Linked DNA regions of Arabidopsis thaliana. The protein of the gene in region 3 purifies or fractionates together with the protein of the main gene of each other region. This does not show direct contact. Each region holds a gene or a part of one and is shown on either strand. Other genes may lie near its edges.

Evidence for each region.
Region 1: the proteins of mtLPD2 (region 3) and ATMDAR2 purify together in Arabidopsis thaliana (affinity purification with mass spectrometry, with the first as the bait; one large-scale study listed by BioGRID). This does not show direct contact.
Region 2: the proteins of mtLPD2 (region 3) and CYTC-1 purify together in Arabidopsis thaliana (affinity purification with mass spectrometry, with the first as the bait; one large-scale study listed by BioGRID). This does not show direct contact.

The regions. Positions count from the first base shown.
Region 1 is NC_003076.8:921,536-926,303, reverse strand, and holds ATMDAR2 (Pyridine nucleotide-disulfide oxidoreductase family protein), read left to right. Parts: upstream 1-1,575; 5' UTR 1,576-1,687; coding exon 1,688-1,741; intron 1,742-1,957; coding exon 1,958-2,029; intron 2,030-2,114; coding exon 2,115-2,166; intron 2,167-2,254; coding exon 2,255-2,335; intron 2,336-2,415; coding exon 2,416-2,534; intron 2,535-2,635; coding exon 2,636-2,855; intron 2,856-2,945; coding exon 2,946-3,064; intron 3,065-3,155; coding exon 3,156-3,281; intron 3,282-3,371; coding exon 3,372-3,512; intron 3,513-3,602; coding exon 3,603-3,926; 3' UTR 3,927-4,256; downstream 4,257-4,768. Other genes in the region: AT5G03620 (Subtilisin-like serine endopeptidase family protein), read right to left, coding at 4,430-4,768. UniProt on the Arabidopsis thaliana protein: Catalyzes the conversion of monodehydroascorbate to ascorbate, oxidizing NADH in the process.
Region 2 is NC_003070.9:8,077,331-8,081,086, reverse strand, and holds CYTC-1 (CYTOCHROME C-1), read right to left. Parts: upstream 1,801-3,756; 5' UTR 1,704-1,800; coding exon 1,592-1,703; intron 1,576-1,591; exon of another isoform or gene 1,113-1,575; coding exon 979-1,112; coding exon of another isoform or gene 975-978; intron 900-974; coding exon 801-899; 3' UTR 513-800; downstream 1-512. Other genes in the region: AT1G22850 (SNARE associated Golgi protein family), read left to right, coding at 62-172, 369-416; AT1G22830 (Tetratricopeptide repeat (TPR)-like superfamily protein), read right to left, coding at 2,055-3,756. UniProt on the Arabidopsis thaliana protein: Electron carrier protein. The oxidized form of the cytochrome c heme group can accept an electron from the heme group of the cytochrome c1 subunit of cytochrome reductase.
Region 3 is NC_003074.8:5,889,157-5,894,254, reverse strand, and holds mtLPD2 (lipoamide dehydrogenase 2), read left to right. Parts: upstream 1-1,922; 5' UTR 1,923-2,088; coding exon 2,089-2,361; coding exon of another isoform or gene 2,362-2,472; exon of another isoform or gene 2,473-2,726; coding exon 2,727-3,977; 3' UTR 3,978-3,987; intron 3,988-4,084; 3' UTR 4,085-4,592; downstream 4,593-5,098. Other genes in the region: AT3G17250 (Protein phosphatase 2C family protein), read left to right, coding at 1-116, 400-1,380; AT3G17230 (plant invertase/pectin methylesterase inhibitor superfamily protein), read left to right, coding at 5,019-5,098. UniProt on the Arabidopsis thaliana protein: Lipoamide dehydrogenase is a component of the glycine decarboxylase (GDC) or glycine cleavage system as well as of the alpha-ketoacid dehydrogenase complexes.

The DNA of each region.
Region 1 (4,768 bases), on a different chromosome or scaffold from region 3:
TTAAAACATCTTTCATTATGGTCAAATATTTGAGCCCTTGTGCTTAGCACTAAGTCTGCATCTAGGGTACAAGTGAAAGTTATGTTCGCATTTTTGAAAATTTATTTCTAACAACAGGTCAGTTGACTTGGGAGTTTTGGAATAATTTGTAATATTGTATATGGATCCAACAAAGTGAGTACTTCATAAAAACTATTCGTGGGTATTCTTCGAAATCTGATAGATCGGACCGGCCCATTAACAGAAGCCCGTCAATATCTATAACCACAACAAAAGTAACCGATGAATTTAGTCAGTCATTTAGATCCTTTCTTCTACATGGTTGTCACTTGTCACTGTAAGAAGTATTCGTCATCCTAGCATCTTCCAAGAAGATTTAGTAACAAATGTCAAAATCATGCATGCAGTAAACTAAAAATAGTACTCTTTGTATTCGAGTGCTAATTACTAATCTTCCAAGAAGATTGGTAACAAATGTCAAAATCATAAGGAATAATTATAATACAAAGTACATTTTAACTTATTAACATATGTCAAAATCAATAGGGTACTTTTGATACGTCCGGTAAATTAGTGTTCTAGTACAGCCCTATCTCTGTTCTTTTCTCATTAAATTGGATTTGAAACTCTCATTATTGTAGGCATGGAAGAGTTTTAGGCCGCCAAGGTCCACATCATTAATAGTTTAGGTCTTTAATACAGTGACATTACATCATTAATATTTAGGTCCCAATTTCTGGAAATTCTATCTGGTTGGAATTTAGGTCATCATTCTTGACAATTTTTTCTCCTCTTTTGACTAAAATCCAAATCATCTTTCCTCTCAAAACTATTAATGTAATACTCTTATTCACATTAGGTCATATGTTAATGTTATTGTAATATACTAATTATACAAAACTAGGTAGTTTCTTTCTTTACTGTAGTAGATCTTAAAACATAAGATAACGACATAAATCATTTAGATTATTAGTAGTTTGATTAATTACTATAATTTATGGTCTTAAGGTTATTCATCTTTGTTTATGCAAACAAAATCATATGATTAGTGTAGTAAATACATATCCTTTTTGTACTATCGGGTTTAGGGATCAAGATAAGGTCCTTGTTTTAACTGTCTTTACATTATATCCAAATAAATTATGGAAATGATTCACTGACACAAATAATCGAATTAAACTTAAAGTCTTAAACTATACATAAAACTACAGATTGGTCTAATAAAGAAATTAAAACCAACCAACAACTCCATAAAGATATTCTACTATATTCATCAATTTGACTAGTGGTTGCTGACACTAGATTTATGATTCCTTTCATATATTTTCTCTTGGTAATTGGTATGTAAATAAAATTCTCCAAATATGAAAGACTGAAAGTGAAATGTAATCAGTAAACCGAGTAATACCGGAATTTTAAATCTGAATGTCCGTTTTACATCGACCAGATCTGTCACGTGTTAAATAAGACCGGGTCAAAAATATAAGACGCTGACTTGTAACGGTTCGATTTCGATTTGTGCACGAAGCGGGATATCTAACGGTTTAAATTAAGCCACGTTTAAAGATTCCTTCTATACTGGACAAAGTCCCCTATAAAAACCTCTGACCCAATCACATTTCTCGGATCCAAAAAGACGAAGAAAAGGAAAAAAGACAAATCAAAGAGAGACGATTCGATCGCATCAATGGCAGAAGAAAAGAGCTTCAAGTATGTGATCGTCGGAGGTGGTGTCGCCGCCGTAAGTCTCTCTCTGTTCTTCTTCTTCATCGGATTTGTTTTTTTTCCTCAATCTCTTCGCTTACGAATCATCACACTGTACTACTGCTCATTTGTATCCTTATCACTCTGAGAAGTAGAGTAGATTGTATCGCTAGATCTAGTGATTTCTATGATTACGGGAAGATAGGAACTAGATTCCCAATTTATTGTTGTTTTGGGATGTTGTGATTCACAGGGATACGCGGCGAGAGAGTTCTTCAACCAAGGTGTCAAGCCTGGTGAACTTGCTATCATTTCCAGGGAACAAGTAAGTTTTCATGACTTGGAACTAAATTTAAGCTAGATTCTTGTCTTGTTATTTATAGTATTGGCAATTTTTTGGTGTTAATTAGGTTCCTCCATATGAGCGTCCTGCACTTAGCAAGGGATATATCCACCTCGAAAGTAAAAACTTCATTCTACATCATTTGGAGATTTAGTTTAGTCTGTGCGTGGTTTCTGAATTAGATTTGTTTGTTCTTATGGTATATAGATAAAGCTACACTTCCGAATTTCTATGTTGCTGCTGGAATTGGGGGAGAGAGACAGTTCCCTCAATGGTACAAAGAGAAAGGTGAGTTTCCTTTTTTTTTGTGCTTTAAGCGTTTTTTTAGCTCAATGTCTCTCATTCATTCTCATATGTCGTTTCTGCAGGTATTGAGCTGATTTTGGGCACAGAGATTGTCAAAGCAGATCTTGCTGCGAAGACACTTGTCAGTGGGACTGGACAAGTCTTCAAGTACCAAACTTTGCTAGCTGCAACTGGTTCTTCTGTGAGCACAATCTATCCTTGCACTTCTTACTTTGGAAGTTTCCATTTTTAGTCTCTTTTTTCTTTTTGCATCTCTTCTAAGGAATTTCTTAAATTGTGTAGGTCATAAGGTTGTCAGATTTTGGCGTCCCAGGTGCAGATGCTAAGAATATATTCTACCTGAGAGAACTCGAAGATGCTGATTACCTTGCTTATGCAATGGAAACAAAGGAAAAAGGAAAGGCTGTGGTTGTTGGTGGCGGTTACATCGGTCTTGAACTCGGTGCTGCTCTGAAGGCTAACAACCTCGACGTTACCATGGTTTATCCAGAACCTTGGTGCAGTAAGTTGATACAAGCCAAACCACTACCATAGAATTCTCATCGTATTCCCTTTGCTTAACACCTTTCCTTTTTGTTGTGTCTTTGAAAAGTGCCTCGGCTTTTCACCGCTGGCATTGCTTCCTTCTACGAGGGTTACTATGCCAACAAAGGAATTAACATTGTCAAAGGCACTGTTGCATCTGGTTTCACTACCAACTCAAATGGAGAGGTTAGCAATTAGCATCACCGTTCAAACTTGACAAACAGCAGTTTTTCTCTCCGCTGCTTCAACAATATCTCTCTGTTGCTTAATGATGCAGGTCACTGAGGTGAAATTGAAAGACGGAAGAACGTTAGAAGCTGATATTGTGATAGTGGGTGTCGGTGGTAGACCAATTATATCACTCTTCAAAGATCAAGTTGAAGAAGAGAAGGGTGGTTTGAAGGTTTGTGACTTGCATACTCCATTTTCTTCTGTATCTGAGATATAGTTCTTATTATTATTGTTTACTCATGAGATCTTTCTTTGATTGCAGACTGATGGGTTCTTCAAAACAAGCCTTCCAGATGTATACGCCATTGGTGATGTAGCCACCTTCCCAATGAAACTCTACAATGAAATGAGACGCGTTGAACACGTTGACCATGCTCGCAAATCCGCTGAACAAGCCGTAAAGGTAATAATTATAATGCTTCTTCAACCTGTCTTAATGAAGGAGCTGTATAAAATCATCCTAATTGAATCGATTGATATAATGATTTTGTAGGCAATCAAGGCGGCTGAGGAAGGGAACTCAATTCCGGAATATGACTATCTTCCATACTTTTACTCTCGAGCCTTTGATCTCTCATGGCAATTCTACGGTGACAACGTTGGAGAAAGCGTATTGTTTGGGGACAATGACCCGGAATCGCCAAAGCCGAAATTCGGGAGCTACTGGATTAAAGAACGGAAAGTGGTTGGAGCATTTTTAGAAGGTGGAAGTCCTGAAGAGAACAATGCAATTGCTAAACTTGCACGAGCACAACCTTCTGTTGAGAGCCTTGAAGTGCTATCTAAGGAAGGCCTTTCCTTCGCCACAAATATATAAATTGCCTTTCTAGGTTGTGTGTTAGTGTGAGCTTTGAGTTCAGAGTGGCTTTTATGTCACTTTGCTATTATGATAGCAGAGTCGACATTTTTGTTATTTGTTTGACCCACTTTCTTGTGATTGTTTGGTTCCAAAATAAAATTGAAAGCTACTCAATTCACTTTTCTGATATTTCTTTCTTCGAAAATGGTACACCAAACTTGTTGGAAACATTTCAGTCACTTTTCTCGGATCCGGCGTTACAAAAACCTTGTCTTCATATGAGTTTTTTATGTCCAAATTTTGTAGACATTTTTACTAACTTGTTGGAGATTGGTCCTTCTCCAACAACACTATTCAAGTTTTAATTCGACTAAAGTTTGGGAGAATTATTGTATATGTTCCTATTTATTTCAACACTAAAAAGGAGAAAAAAAACAACACTAGAAATAGAAATCATAACCAAACACTAAAAAACAAAAAACAAACAAACAAGGGTCTAAAAAAAAGCAGTCTTGTCTTTTTTAACGGTAATCGTTATCCGATCGAAACAACAGAATTGGACTTCTCACAAGATGTCCTCTCGAATCATCCCATTCCACAGAAGCAGACACAATCCCTTTCATTGTCTCATCCCAAACTCCATCAATCACAACCTTAAAATTCCTCTTCTCTTTAGGCCTCTCGAAACTCATAACCTTAGGCACAACCTCAACTCTCAAACCCTTCGGTGCCCAAACCCTAGCCACGTAGGTCGATGGTCCGTATCCGACATTCGTCACTGTTCTATAGAAAACTTCCGACACTTTCGCTTCCGTAGAATTCACTTGCTTGTGCAGTGACGGATAATTTAACCCGTCGGA
Region 2 (3,756 bases), on a different chromosome or scaffold from region 3:
GGTGACTCTGGCAAGCATCATAAAATCATCAAATGACAATCTTCTGTCTATGTCGCTTCAGCAAGAAGAATCTAATGTTGGCTTGCCTGGAGGAAACGGCCAGCTTTTAACTCTCGGGGTGGGTCTGTTGGTTACTGCATTGGCTGGAACATATGTGACAAGCCTTGCAAAGGTAAACTCATACTTGTTTACTTCTTTTCTTTCTCTGTTCTGCGTTATATTTGCCTCCCACTTCTGATATCAAACCAACTGGTTCAAAGCTTCGTAGCATATAAGCTCAGAAAAGTCCCACATTTGGTTGAAACTTAAAAGATGTAAAGTGAAATGAATCTGTCTCATGTATATCTTTTACTTGCCGTGTGTTGCAGGATGCTATAAAGGATATTGATGATGATGAGAAGAGAGATGCAAAGTAGGAAACAAGCCAGCGATTGGATAATGGTTTTGACTCTCTAGGATTTGTAAAACGCCAACAGAGTATCATGTATCAACGTTAAATGTATTGCTCCATTATTGTTAATAGTTGATATATAATTCGAATCTTTTTTGTCCTTCAAATTTAAGCACCAATAATAAGTGAGAAAATGCTTTCTAGACAAAAAAAAGGAAAATGAGCCTCAGAAAATCAAATGTACTCGATAAAGTGAGCCTCAGCACACATTACAGCCAAATTCCCACCAAGAACGTAATTGATGATAAACAAAAAAAGTTTGAGATTTTATTTGGCAAAAGAATATAGCAAAGTAAAAAAGCCTCATCTGAGAGAGACTTAACAACTCAGAATCAATCCACCATCAGATTCACTTAGGCGCAGTAGATTCCTTCAAGTAGGCGATGAGATCAGCACGGTCTTGCGGCTTCTTTAGCCCAGGGAACACCATCTTGGTACCTGGTATGTACTGCATCATATAAAAAGGCCATCAATCTCAATGTTAACAACAACAACTCATGAAACAATCATGACATGATTATACAAACCTTCTTGGGGTTGAGCAAGTAATCGTACAAGGCCTTCTCTTCCCATTCCACAGCTTTGTTCTTGTTAGCAGCAGAGTAAGAGTAACCAGCAGTTGTACCAGATTGTCTTCCAAATAGACCGTTTAGATTGGGTCCTATATTAAAACAACAAGGTCAAGTGTTGAGCAACAATGTGACGCAAATCACATTCTACAAAAGCTACGAAAACAATAGAAACCATTGAGCAACAGTGTTTTCTAATTTCACGCAATTTCAAGAAAAAATGAGAATCTGTGACGCAACTAGCTCAAATCATTGTTGTATCATTACTTAGAATTCGAGAATCAAGTTCCACAAAAATGCGAAAAGTTGTATATAAAAACCTCAGAAATTCGTCACATGCATTGAGCTGAAGATTTAAGGATAAACACGAGTAAGACATCGAGGTTATTGGATCAGATCTATGATCTAATCGAAGAATCCGTTAACCAGATCACATCAGAGATTTTTGATTAACATGAACAAATCGATTATAAAGCGATGTAAAACAAAGGCCCGATAAAAATTCAGATAAATTGCGAAAATCAACCATAGAAATAGAATTCAAGAGTGAGAGAGATCGATGAGTGAAAACCTTGTTTGTGACCGGCGCCTGCTTCGACGGTGTGACACTGAGCACACTTGGTCCTGAAGATCTTCTCACCGGCCTTGGCGTTTCCTGGTGGTGCTTCATCAAACGACGCCATTTTTTTCGCTTGAGCTACGCGATCAGGAACAACAAGAGAAAATGATTACGGAACTCTCGTTTCTCTGGAGCTTGCCGAAGTTTCCTTAGGGTTTCACTGTGGAAAAAGTGACCTCTCTTAAAAAAGCAGTATCTCCAATCTTAATGGGCCCTTAATGGGTTTAGGTGGGCTCATATTTATTTCATATATAATGCTGTTTATGCTTGTTACTCATACTTGCGAAGGACCATCCCCTAGTTCATGTAAACTTATGTTTACAGGAAATCATGCAATTAAAACTTGTTGTATATAAGATTTATGTACAAATTGATTCTCCAGTTTGATAAAATATTTCTATCAGAATTTGATTCTTTATCCTACTTCTACAAGACGTTCTTCATCTGAACTTTGCTCCTGATTGATGACAGAATCATCGTTCATCGGCTTATTATTCTCTCCATCTAACTCCGAATCTGTTTCCATCAAAGCAAACTCATGAGCCTTTTGCACGCCCAAGTCACTCAGTAAAGTCTTCACCGTTACAAGCTTGCTCCAAGAACCAGTTACTGCATACATATCTGCAAGCAACATATAGTGACCTAAGTGTTCTGGCTTTGTTTCTAGTAGTAACTTATCTGCAGCCCACTCCCCAATGTTTGTGTTCCCGTGGATGAGGCACGCTTTCAGTAGAGTAGCACACATAGCACTTGATGGCTCGTAAGGTATTGTATGGAATATATCTCTGGCTTTATCCAGGTAACCTGCTCTGCAATAAAGATCAACCATACAAGAATAGTGTTCAAGGCGAAGGCGTATACCAAACACATGCTCCATCTTCGTAAACAACCAGTGTCCTTCACGCACTAAATTGGAATGGCTGCAAGCTGATAAAACTGCAACCATAGTTACATGATCAGGTTTGATACCGGATCTGTCCATATCCTTGAACCATGCCAATGCGACTTCTCCTTTACCCAGCCTGCCATATCCATCGATCAAAGAAGTGTATGTCACTTTGTCCCTCTTCCTCATCGAATCAAATACTCGCTTTGCAGCTATGATTTCACCGGATTTTGCATACATATCGACAAGGGAGTTCCACAGGATTAAACAGTCCTTGTAGCTTTGGCGTCTCAGGATGTAGCAGTGAAACTCTTTCCCATGTTGCAGGTTTCCCACCCGAGCAAAAAGAGGGAGAATGCTAGCAAGCGTAATGTGATTTGGGTGAAATCCAGAGAGCAACATCTCCTTGAGCAGGAAAGAGGTTTCTTCTGATCTCTCGTTGTATGCAAAACCGGAAATGATAGAATTCCATGTACTCAAACTATTTGCTTCAACCTGCTGAAACACTATAAACGCGTGCCTAAGATCACTGCATCTTGAGTACATTGTGATCAACGAATTCCGAACATTGTCAATATCATGGGAAAAACTACAACTACGGATCACAAGGCAATGAAATACTTTCCCCCACTTTAACGCTCCAATGTGTGAGCATGCCTTTAAACCATTAATCATAGCTACAGAACCTATTCTTACATTGCAATTTCTCATCCCAACAACACAATTCAAAGCCCCTATGTAATTTCCTGCCTCCAAACAACCTCCAGCTATTGTGTTCCAAGTTACAATACTCGCTTCGACACCAGAGAGATACATTCTATCAAGAAGCTTAAAAGCTTCCCCTAACTTTTCTTCTGAAGTATAACAGTTGATTATTGCATTCCATGAGACAGCATCCCTTTCAGACATCCTGTCAAACAATCTCCGAGCAACATCCACTTTACCAAATCTTTTATACATAGATATCAACGCGTTGCAGACATACAAGTTACACCTGTGAGAGCTAACCTCAATAGAGCCATGAACAACTCTCCCATATGCAAAATCCAGTAATGCTGCACAAGCCTTGATAACAGACGGGTAAGTAAATTCATCCGCTCTAATTCCTTTACTCATCATTCGCTTGTAAACAGAAACAGACTCCTGAAACCTTTTGTTCCTAATATACGAACCGATGAGCACATTCCACGGCAAGGGATGCAAAATCTCAGAGTTCTCAGTAATGGTCTGA
Region 3 (5,098 bases):
AGTCTCATCTCTCCGTTGCGAAAGATCCTAGTAACTTTCAGATTGCCGAAATTCGAATTCATGATTCAATTTGTATTGATATTCCGAGCTCTGAAGAAACGCCTCTTTTAGAATCGGTATGTGTTTGGGTTTTTGTTTCTTTTCTCTTTTTTGTGTAATCTCAATTTTGTTACTTTTGAATTTTTTAGGACTCCGTACCATTCTAGATTCTCCGTTGAATTCGAAGTTAGAAATTGAATTGGATTGGATAGATAAAGTCTTATTCTTTGATAATTCCGCTTGCTCTTCTACTCATGGATTTGTTCTGTTTTGTGAATTCTGTGATGGTTTTGTGATGTTATGAAGGAGAAAAACAACTAACACTAAACAAGCTCTTATGTTACCTTTGTTTTCAAACAGATCAAGAGTTGTTCTGCAACTACTATTGAAGAGCATGTTACTGAGTTTGTACCAAATATAAGCTCAGGGAGTTATGCAGATAAGGGTGACTACCGGGAGTACATGGAAGATGAACACATATGCATAGACGACCTTTCAGATCATCTTGGGTCTTCCTTTTACAGATTTCCGGTGCCTATGGCTTTCTACGGTGTGTTTGATGGCCATGGTGGATCTGACGCATCACAGTATATAAAAGAGAATGCTATGAGCTTGTTCTTTGAAGATGCTGTTTTTCGACAATCGCCCTCTGTTGTGGACTCTCTTTTCTTGAAAGAACTGGAGACATCTCACCGGGAAGCTTATAGGCTTGCTGATCTTGCAATGGAGGACGAAAGAATAGTTAGTAGTTCGTGCGGAACAACCGCATTGACTGCTCTTGTAATCGGAAGACATTTAATGGTCGCTAATGTTGGTGATTGTCGTGCGGTGCTCTGCAGAAAAGGAAAAGCTGTTGATATGTCATTTGATCACAAATCTACATTTGAGCCAGAACGGAGACGAGTAGAGGATTTAGGAGGGTACTTTGAAGGCGAGTATCTCTATGGTGACCTTGCTGTTACAAGAGCTCTTGGAGACTGGTCAATAAAGAGGTTTTCACCCCTTGGTGAATCTTTGTCACCTCTGATCTCAGACCCGGACATTCAACAGATGATTCTAACTGAGGAAGACGAGTTCTTGATTATGGGATGTGACGGTGTTTGGGACGTGATGACAAGCCAGTATGCTGTTACTTTCGTCAGGCAAGGACTTAGGAGACACGGTGATCCTAGAAGGTGCGCTATGGAACTTGGAAGGGAAGCGTTAAGGCTAGACTCATCAGATAACGTTACAGTGGTGGTCATCTGCTTCTCATCATCCCCAGCTCCTCAGAGAAGAAGGATACGGTTCTGTGTTTCCGATGAAGCTCGAGCCCGGTTACAGACAATGCTAGAAGGCTAACTGATGAAGGTTTTTTAGCGGTCTTGAGGAGGGCACAATGTATATATTATAGCAACAAAGATGGGGTTTTGAGATAACAACCCTCCCAAGGCCAAATTATTTGATGACATTATTACATCTCTCTGATATTGGATGAAATAAAAGGAAGGCAAAAAGAGAAGATGAAGGACTTCTTCTTTATGTTGTTAAAATGTTCATAAGTGTTATAGCCATTTTTTATCTATTTATTCTGTAGGATTATTGAGCACTTATGTACAAAAACTGATTAAGATTAAGGAATTCAGGTGATTAAGTTAATCAACTAATTCTCTACCCATTTCTTTGAAAATTGTGATCAGAGTTTTGTGTCTAATATCTCTTTCATTACATCTTCACTTTGTATATGTTTTAAAAATCACTAACATATTTGTCCCATTTTGATATATGTTTGTGTAGTGGTTGATCATATGATGATGATGTATATGATCACTCAGCTTGGATTATTAGGGTTATATTATATCATCATAATAATATGCTTATTGCTTCTGGATCCTCTTAGTTATGATTAACGAAAATTAAAAAAAAATCAGGGAAAAAGCGAAGAGGTCCTTTTTGTTTTCGTCTTTATTCGACTTTTCAAAGAGCCAAAGTCTCTCTTCTCCATCTCTCTCTCTCTCTCAGAAACTTCGACGGAAGAAGAACAAAACAACAACAACAACAACAATAACGATGGCGATGGCGAGCTTAGCTAGGAGAAAAGCGTACTTTCTCACCAGAAACATCTCTAATTCTCCCACTGATGCTTTCAGATTCTCTTTCTCCCTCACTCGCGGCTTCGCTTCGTCAGGATCCGACGACAACGACGTCGTCATCATCGGCGGCGGTCCTGGAGGTTATGTGGCGGCGATTAAAGCGGCACAGCTCGGTCTTAAGACTACCTGTATCGAAAAGCGAGGCGCTCTCGGTGGTACTTGTCTTAACGTCGGCTGTATTCCTTCAAAGGTGATTTTAGAAACTCCTTTTCCGATTACCTTGATTCGTCGGAAATTTTCTCCGATTTTCATTCGTCTCCTGTGGAACTTGCTCGTTGATCATCATTTAGATTCGATCTGAGGTTAGATTAATTTCGAGGTTTAAGAAATGATTGTGTGATGATGATACTTATTTATTTTTCAGATCTGTTTGTGCTTGATTCCTCGGAAATGGAACTATTTGTCTTTGAATTTTTGTATATCTGAAAATATTTTGTTCTCGTTGCATATGCTGGATCACGATCCTCGCATTTTTTGTTTTGTGATTGTGTTAGTCTCTGTTTGAGATTTGATTAATATATATGACATAATCTAGTTTAGTTTCTGCTGTATTAGGCCCTTCTTCACTCTTCTCACATGTACCATGAAGCAAAGCACGTTTTTGCTAACCATGGTGTTAAGGTCTCTTCGGTTGAGGTAGATCTTCCTGCTATGTTGGCGCAGAAAGACACAGCCGTCAAGAATTTAACCCGTGGAGTCGAAGGTCTGTTCAAGAAGAACAAGGTAAACTATGTTAAGGGCTATGGTAAGTTTCTGTCCCCATCGGAAGTCTCTGTGGACACAATCGATGGAGAAAACGTGGTTGTGAAAGGCAAACATATCATAGTTGCAACTGGCTCGGATGTCAAGTCTTTGCCTGGAATCACCATCGATGAAAAGAAGATTGTCTCATCAACCGGGGCACTGTCTCTGACAGAGATCCCAAAGAAACTCATTGTCATTGGTGCTGGCTATATTGGGCTAGAGATGGGTTCTGTATGGGGACGGCTAGGATCAGAGGTCACAGTTGTTGAGTTTGCAGCGGATATCGTACCAGCAATGGATGGTGAAATCCGCAAGCAGTTTCAACGCTCACTAGAGAAGCAGAAGATGAAATTTATGCTCAAAACTAAAGTCGTTGGGGTAGATTCATCTGGAGATGGTGTTAAACTCATAGTGGAACCTGCTGAAGGTGGAGAACAGACCACTCTAGAAGCTGATGTGGTCCTCGTCTCAGCTGGTAGAACTCCGTTCACATCTGGACTTGATCTAGAGAAAATCGGAGTTGAGACAGACAAAGGCGGGAGAATTCTGGTGAACGAGAGATTCTCGACAAATGTTTCAGGCGTTTATGCAATTGGAGATGTGATTCCAGGACCAATGCTGGCTCACAAAGCCGAAGAAGATGGTGTTGCATGTGTTGAGTTTATAGCAGGCAAACACGGGCATGTGGATTACGACAAAGTCCCTGGGGTTGTCTACACGTACCCTGAAGTTGCGTCGGTTGGTAAAACCGAGGAGCAGCTGAAGAAAGAAGGTGTAAGCTACAATGTTGGAAAATTCCCATTCATGGCCAATAGCAGAGCCAAGGCCATAGACACAGCAGAGGGAATGGTCAAGATTTTGGCTGATAAAGAGACAGACAAGATCTTGGGAGTTCACATTATGTCACCAAACGCAGGAGAATTGATCCATGAGGCGGTTCTAGCTATCAACTATGATGCATCAAGTGAAGACATTGCTCGAGTCTGTCACGCTCATCCCACCATGAGTGAGGCTATCAAGGAAGCTGCCATGGCTACCTATGACAAGCCCATTCACATGTAGAAGCCCTCAGGTACATCATGGTTTGGTGTTGATTCTGTTTCGGTGGATGACTTTCTTGGTTCTTCGGGTTTTGATTTTTCTTTTGTGTGTGTTGATGCGTATACTAGGAGATGTGGATTGAGAGGGAGAAGGAAGTAAAGCCGCCTACGACAAGCCAAATCAAGATGACTTTGGTTTAAACTTTTGATTTTTAATTTCTGGTGGATATGAGATGAGCTGAAAGAAAATACTTTAACGGTTTTACCACTCTTTTTTATTCGTTAAATCTTCTCCAGATTTTCAGTTGCGGGTTAGGCCCAACTATAGTAATAATTTGATATGCTCAATGAACCAAATGTGATTAATCAGGTATGATCGGTGGTTTTGGTGAAAGAGGATAACCAAATTCGATATGATTTTTTCACTGTATGATTGTGTTCAGTTTTATGATTTCAGTTTGCTTCCAAATTTTGGGACATGATTCGTTTCTTTTCATATGTATGCTCAAGATACTTACCATTGTCAAAATTCAAAAACGATAGTTGAGTAGTACGATAAAAAATACTCAAAAGAAGATAAACAAAACACACAGTTCGGACACTCATCCATAGAATTTTCTTATGTTTTAGATTTGGGAATTTTGTATGATATGATTTATACTAATAACCCAAGATTTTGAAATCTTTTCAAATAAAAGAATTTCCTCAAAGTAAGATTTTCTTTTGTTATAAAAATGGCAATGAATAATAATTCGAAGATTTTTTTCTTAACTTATGAATTGAATAATAATGGTGGATTGCGAATAATATAGAATTAAAGAAGAATATTATAGAATTTAGACATTTAAGATTTCCACATCCAATAAAGATGGAGTTTTAAGGAAAGCTTTTTGTCTCCCTAAATACGTTCGTTCTCACATTAATTGAGTCAACAAATAATAATTTGGGTCACATTTCATAATATCTTTCTATTGTCATCCAAAAACTATGTACTTATTAGTATGCAATAAGAACCTCCCAGACTCTCAAGTATACGCATAATTATCTTTCCGCAGCCAAGACAATGGCTTATCCTTGCGTCAAAAGAAACGTATTTTCACTTCTTCCTCTTCTCGTTCTTCTATCAATCACCCCTTTGTCTTC